2 linked regions of the Caenorhabditis elegans genome follow. The protein of the gene in region 2 purifies or fractionates together with the protein of the main gene of each other region. This does not show direct contact. Each region holds a gene or a part of one and is shown on either strand. Other genes may lie near its edges. The genes, in order: ZK686.5 and col-138.

What was found.
Region 1: the proteins of col-138 (region 2) and ZK686.5 fractionate together in Caenorhabditis elegans (co-fractionation; one large-scale study listed by BioGRID). This does not show direct contact.

Annotation. Positions count from the first base shown.
Region 1 is NC_003281.10:7,765,620-7,769,548, reverse strand, and holds ZK686.5 (Putative zinc finger protein ZK686.5), read left to right. Parts: upstream 1-2,033; 5' UTR 2,034-2,094; coding exon 2,095-2,141; intron 2,142-2,186; coding exon 2,187-2,286; intron 2,287-2,333; coding exon 2,334-2,412; intron 2,413-2,456; coding exon 2,457-2,680; intron 2,681-2,726; coding exon 2,727-3,068; 3' UTR 3,069-3,160; downstream 3,161-3,929. Other genes in the region: Putative zinc finger matrin-type protein snu-23, read left to right, coding at 1-58, 108-334; ZK686.3 (putative dolichyl-diphosphooligosaccharide--protein glycosyltransferase subunit 3), read left to right, coding at 513-715, 835-1,520, 1,628-1,734; Putative ATP-dependent RNA helicase ZK686.2, read left to right, coding at 3,500-3,550, 3,605-3,679, 3,771-3,916.
Region 2 is NC_003282.8:17,182,360-17,185,699, forward strand, and holds col-138 (Nematode cuticle collagen N-terminal domain-containing protein), read right to left. Parts: upstream 1,371-3,340; coding exon 525-1,370; downstream 1-524. Other genes in the region: C52D10.3 (DUF4140 domain-containing protein), read left to right, coding at 1-10, 58-193.

The sequences.
Region 1 (3,929 bases), on a different chromosome or scaffold from region 2:
ACTAAAAAGAGCACAGTTGCTGATGTCAGAGAACGATTCAAATTAATGAAAGATAAAAGTGAGTTCAAAAAAAGTAATCAGCTCATTTAAACTTTGCATTGTTTCAGAAGAAAGAGAAAAGAAAGAGGCACAAGTGGAACAGTTGCTAGAGGATGTTCAAGAAGAAGAGGCGAGAATGGCTGATTTCAAAAAGGACAAGAAAACAGACAACAGAAAACGAAAGAGGGACACCAGAAAAGATGAAGAAGAAGACGACGACGAAGACGATAGCGGACTTGATCCTGAAATTCGCGCAATGATGGGCTTTTCTGGATTTTCCACCAGTAAACGATGATTATCAAAAATATGATCTCATTTTTATACATAATAAAATTCATTGACGTTTTTTTTTCATTTATGTCTTCAAAGCAGTTCCGATTTTCTGCATTACTATTATCTGAATACTCTGTAATTTGTTCCTTGTTTTTATTTTCACAATTTTTCAGATGAGAACAATGGTATTACTGTTCTTCATGCTGCTCGCCGTCTACGAGTCGGCTCAGCAGCAAACCCTCGAGGATAAAGTTCAAAACCTTGTCGATCTCACCTCAAGACAGTCCATAGTCAAGTTCAATATGGACAAATGGAAGACTCTTGTTCGAATGCAACCAAGAAATTACTCAATGATTGTCATGTTCACTGCACTTTCCCCAGGTGTTCAATGCCCAATTTGCAAGTAAGTTAACTTCTAATTGGAGCAATCGGACAATTAAAGTAAAATTTCTCCCCGAAATAATGATTATATTTAGAACGTTCATAATACAACGTACAAATTTTAATTATTTGGTTTTCTAGACCGGCCTACGATGAATTCATGATTGTCGCCAACTCTCACCGCTACACCAGCTCCGAGGGAGATCGTCGTAAAGTATTCTTTGGAATTGTTGACTATGAAGATGCTCCACAAATCTTCCAACAAATGAACCTCAACACAGCTCCTATTCTCTACCATTTCGGACCAAAGCTTGGTGCCAAGAAGCGTCCAGAGCAAATGGACTTCCAGAGACAAGGATTCGATGCTGATGCTATTGGACGATTTGTTGCAGATCAGACAGAAGTTCATGTTCGTGTTATCCGCCCACCAAACTATACTGCTCCAGTCGTAATTGCTCTTTTTGTTGCACTGCTCCTTGGAATGTTGTACATGAAGAGAAACAGTTTGGACTTCCTCTTCAATAGGACTGTGTGGGGATTTGTCTGCCTCGCTATCACTTTCATCTTCATGTCCGGACAAATGTGGAATCATATTCGTGGACCACCATTCATGATTACCAACCCGAACACCAAAGAACCATCATTCATTCACGGATCCACTCAATTCCAACTCATCGCTGAAACTTACATCGTCGGACTTTTGTATGCTTTGATCGCTATTGGATTCATTTGTGTCAATGAAGCAGCCGACCAGTCGAACAGCAAAGATAGAAAGAATGCTGGAAAGAAGCTGAACCCACTTTCCTTGTTGAATATCCCTACAAACAGTAAGTTTGAATAAATTTTTAAAAAAATTTGAAGATAATAAATAGGTATTTTCCAAACAGTAATAATTATTGCAAGTTCCAGAACTATCATAATATCATATTTTCAGCTTTGGCAATCGCTGGACTTGTGTGCATTTGCGTCTTCTTCTCGTTCCTTCTGTCTGTCTTCCGCTCCAAATATCGTGGATACCCATACTCATTCCTCTTCGCCTAAACGTTTCTTCCTGCCAGATTTCTAAATATTTAATAAGTTATTGTATTATCTCCTCTCTCTCTCTCCCCAAAGGTTTACTGTTTTTTAATTACTTGTACCGAAACTAGAAGGTGTTTTCCCCTTCTCCAAAGAAGCTTTTTGTTGTTGGGTTTGTGTGATATTATGTACTTCCTTTTTCTCTCAAAATTCCGGATTGAATTGTAATTTAAGTTAAATAGAAAAGATAAATATTAATTTATTCAGTATACTATCGTGAACTCTAAATGCCCTAGTTTGTTCAGAATTTTCTAAAAATCTCACGTGGTTTCATGAGTTGGATTTCATGTGAAGAAATGACAATGGACAGTCGTGGTGGAAACGATGACCGATCTGGATATAGAAATTGTGGATGATATAAAGAAACTTCAGTGAGTTTAATCTGATTTCAGATTGGTTGAGAAATGAATTTTCAGCATATACAATGAATATTTGTTGAATCGTGAAACTCTAAAAGCAACAAAAGAGCTTTGTGAACTAATGAGCCATGAATCTGTAGGATGCTCTTGTTTCCAGGTTTCTTTCTGTTCATCGGAGATACGTTGAACCTAAAAATATTTTAGGAATTCCCAGTTGAAAAAGCTCCCGAAATGCCAGATTTCACAATAATCCAACCAGATCGGAAATTTGATGGTGATAATGGTATTGTCTAGGAGTTTTTTTAAAGTATTTTCAAAATTTTTCAGCAGCGGCAGTAGCTGGAATATTTGTACGCAGCTCTACTTCGTCATCATTTCCTAGTGCATCATCCTATATTGCAGCCAAGAAACGAAAAAATGTAGATAATACAAGTACTCGAAAACCATATTCTTACAAGGACCGAAAACGGAAAAATACAGAAGAGATCAGAAATATTAAGAAAAAATTATTTATGGATTTAGGAATTGTTCGAACAAATTGTGGCATTGATGTGAGTGAATTTTGAAATTAAAAAAAAATTAAAAATTGTATTTTAGAACGAGAAGCAGGATCGAGAGAAGGCGATGAAGCGGAAAGTGACAGAAACAATTGTAACAACCTACTGTGAGCTCTGTGAGCAGAATTTCTCGAGTTCTAAAATGTTGCTTCTTCATCGCGGAAAAGTTCACAATACTCCATATATCGAATGCCATCTATGCATGAAGCTCTTCTCTCAAACAATTCAATTTAATCGGCACATGAAAACTCATTACGGACCGAACGCTAAAATTTATGTTCAATGTGAGCTCTGTGATAGACAATTCAAGGACAAGCAATCGTTGAGAACCCACTGGGATGTATCACATGGTTCCGGAGATAACCAAGCAGTATTGGCATGAACTCGTAGATTATTTTTATTTCGTGTAAAATTTTTTGTGACCTATGCAGACTCTAATACGTTTTTTATTCAATAAACTCGAATTATATCTTTAAATTTGTTCTGATATCTGCAGTAGACACAACCCATTGAACAACTGACAGTTAAGTAAACAATACAATGCAAAATTAATTTATTAAAAACAATTGAATTCGATGGAATTTATTATTTGTATAATATATTCGAACGAATGCAATTGAATAAATTAAATTTTTTTTCTAAAAATCGATCGCGAGCAAAAATAGCAACGCTCCGAAATCCCGCAACGCGCGCTGTTTATCGTAAATGCACACCAATTTTTCTCCGCTGTTCTTATTATTATATATTAATTTTTCTCCGCTGTCCTTATTTTTTCAACGCATTTTTTGGTTCATATTTTAATTTCTCCAGATAATGAAAAGAAAAAACCAAAAAGAAGACAGCGACACGGAAAACGATGATGAGGTATTTTCATTTTACAAAAAGTTTACATTTGACTTATTTGTATTAAATATTCAGATTGAGCCAGCAAACGGAGACGGAATTGAACAAGAAATGAATAGAGTAACAAACGGAAATGAGGATGATGAATCAGTGAGTTTTAATCAATTTGTTTTCTTGGCGAAATTGAAAGCGAATTTTATAAAAAATCCTGTTTAATTTTTGACTTTTTGAATTTTTGAAGGTTGGCAATGATGTGGCAGAGCCTATGGAAACAGAAGACGTAGAAGATTCTGGCGAAGTTGAAATTGAAGAAACTGCGCAAAATGGTGAACGAGAAATATTTAAAGTGCTCGGAAAACAAGAAATGAAGAATTTGGAGGCACTAAAGTGAGAATAATTT
Region 2 (3,340 bases):
GGATATTATGGCGAGTGAATTGAGAAATTAACGCTTTAAAAGCCACTTTTGTTTTAGGAGACGCCGTGCGAGATATGAAAAAAGAGTTGCGGAAGCGTCAGCGGGAGAGTGAACAGCTTTCGGAGAAGATTGATCATTTGGACAGACAATTGGATCAGCTAAGATGTCTGGCAGAGTATGATTCGATTAAGAGGTGGGAATTAACTGTACACGAGTGCAAGAAGCTTGAAACTCTAGAAGCCGACATCTTACGGGTGGTTTTTCTCCCACAAAGTGTCGGCTGCAAAAATTTCCACCGAGAGTAATTATTTGTTCGTCTTGCCAAAAATATCGCCAGTAAGGTTTCTTGTCTTATACTTAAAATGTTCGACTTAGCCACTCGTGAAATGTTTCTAATCTTTCCATTTAAACGTCGGCTGCTAAAATATAAAAATTCAAAAGAAAATTATGTCGTTTATACAAAATCGGTGCAAAACCCGAGTAGAACAAGAGGCAATAAGTTAGAAAATCCGCGAAACTCCTCCTTAATATCCTGGAGCAGTTCTTGGTGGTGGACAATGATCGCAGGATCCCTTTGGTCCGTCCTCTCCTGGCTTTCCTGGCTCTCCGTCGACTCCGTCCTTTCCTGGCTCTCCATCCTTTCCGTTTTGTCCTGGCTCTCCTTGTGGTCCTTGTCTTCCTGGCTGTCCTGGACGTCCATCTTGTCCGGCTTCTCCCTTTGGTCCTTGCTCTCCTGGCTCTCCTGGCTCTCCGACTGGCGATGCGACGGTACGCTGAACTCCTGGTGCTCCTGGTGCTCCAAGCTCTCCTGGCTCTCCATCGGCTCCGACTGGTCCGGCTGGTCCTGGAGCTCCCTTGTTTCCTGGACGGCCGGCTGGCCCTGGCTCTCCTGGTGCTCCGGACTCTCCGTCTGGTCCCTTTGGTCCTGGTGGTCCTGGTGGTCCAACTGGAGATGGCTCACACTCAAAGCAGAAATCGTCGGCGGTTGGGATCTGCTGGGCATCGGCATCCTTTCCGTTGACTCCAGGCTTTCCAGCCTTTCCGTCGGATCCTGGAGCTCCATCATCTCCCGGTGCTCCAACTGGTCCGGCGGTTCCAGTTCCGCAAGAGCAGCACTTCTCGTTGGTGGAACGCTTCTGGCGAAGGGTGGCCACAGCAGAGTCTCTGTAAGCGGCGAGCCGAGTGTACTCTCCGCGGAGAGAGTCTGTACGGGACTTGCAGAAAGTCAAATCGTCTTGAAGTCCAGATTGAATGTTCTGAAGGTAGAGGCAAAGCATTGGAACTGCCATGACCACTGTAAGAGTGGCGACCGTCGAGGCGGCGATTCCGAAGAAGGCGAATTTCTTGACAGACTGACGGTCCTCGTCCATGGTGGAAGGTTCTGGAAAAACCTGATGAGGGTGGGAGGGGTCAGGTCAGAAAATTAGAAAAAGAAAACTGAAAAAAGTTATCACTGTTTCAGAAATTTTTCAAAATTTTGAAGCTTTTGATTGTGAACTCTACTTGTACAATGTTACTTGTTGCATAATCAGGCCAAAAAATGGCAACCGACATTTTCTGGGTTTTCTAATTTCTGAATGGAGTAGATGACAAGCGCCTATTACTTTTTCAATGAAAAAAAAACGTACTGCTTCACTAATACGCCAAATTAAATTGTTAACTATCAATCAGTTTGTTGCTATAAACTTACTTAAATAATATTTTACATAATCACTGTTACATTAATTCTAAATAAATAGTTCCCTTCGATGCACGAAAGTACATCTTTCAAATTTAAAATGACTGATACAAATGCTAGAGTAACTCGAAAATCATTAAATCATTAAATTCAGTTGCTGAAACAGTAAAAAAATTTAAAGTAGAAAAACGCTTCCTTTTCTGCTTTTAACGAATTTTTCAAAATTGTTCCTTGTTTTAACGTATTGTTGAAAATGAAATAAAGTACTGCTACCAGTCATTTTTTTAAAGAAATCAACGATTTACTGAAGAATTTTTTTGGAAAAAAATTTACTGTTTCACTAACTGCACTTAAAAATAAATAATAAATAAATTTTCACTAACTGCACTAAAATTGCAACTTTTGATTCTAATGAATCCTCTGATTCTTTTCTGAAAAAAATTTAAAATTAATTATCAAGAAATCGAAAACCTGCATAATCAAAATTTTTGAGGAAAAAATTGAACTGTTGAAAAATTTTCCGAATTTTAATTTTTCTTATTAATTTTACAATTTTAGCGGTTCTCATTGAATAACTTCATAGAAACTAGACAAAATCGAAAATCGTATCGTCGTGGAATATTGCTGCAATAATGCAAATGTTTAAATGAACATACTGCAATAGTAATTATAATTAATCGAAAATTTTCCTAGTGAATGGATTTTTGAAAATGCTACTGTTTCACCAGTCTAACAAAAAAGTGTTCTCAACTTTTTAATTAAAAAAATGAATTTATGAATGCATTTTACTGTTTCTACCCGATATTCACTCAATAAAAATAAAATCAGAAAGCTTTATTCTAGTGAATATTTGAAATTGTTGAGACAATTCTACGTTTCAGTACTGTGACAGTAGCCCAAAAAACGGTTTCTTTACACAAATTGAACTAATGATTGTCAAATAAAAAAAAGTTACAAAAATTGTTACTGTTTCAATAATTTTATGAATTTGGAATAGTTTTCTCAAAAATATTCTGGCTAATGAAAAAAATGTTTCAATACTAAAACTTTTGAAAACTATTCATTCAGAAAAATTTTCACCGTTTTAATAATTCATCACAAGTTACGGAAAGGAAAACAATTTGGATGATTGCTGTTTCAGCAAACTTATGACTACACATTTGCTATAAAAACCTAGTGCACAATTGATGAAGGTGCTTCAATTAAAAAAAACTGTTTCAGCTGTAACAAGAATACATCTAAAGTAACCGCTAGAAAATCCAAAAAAATAAAATTAATGAAGAGGCTGGCTGGAATGTACTCACAAATCGTCCCATTTCATCTCTTTTATAACACGAAACATCTTCGTACTTGCTAAGCGATGCGCAATCCATTGAAAAAAAAGAGCCCCTCCTTCAGTTCCACCTTTTTCGGAAAGCTTTGGCGTCCCAGCGAGTGCAGAAAAAACTTTTGAACCTGTTTCGCTGCGGGGAGACTTCCTTGGCCACAAAAAAGTTGATATGAAGTGATATGTATGTGATAGGCCTGTTCTCATTATCATTATCATTCGGGGCGAGGGATTACTGAACTTTTTTTTGGTATAAATGGGGGGGGGGGGGGTAATAGGGTGGGGGTATGTTTAGATGGAAATAGGGGGAGAGATCGGAAAAAGTGATTACACAA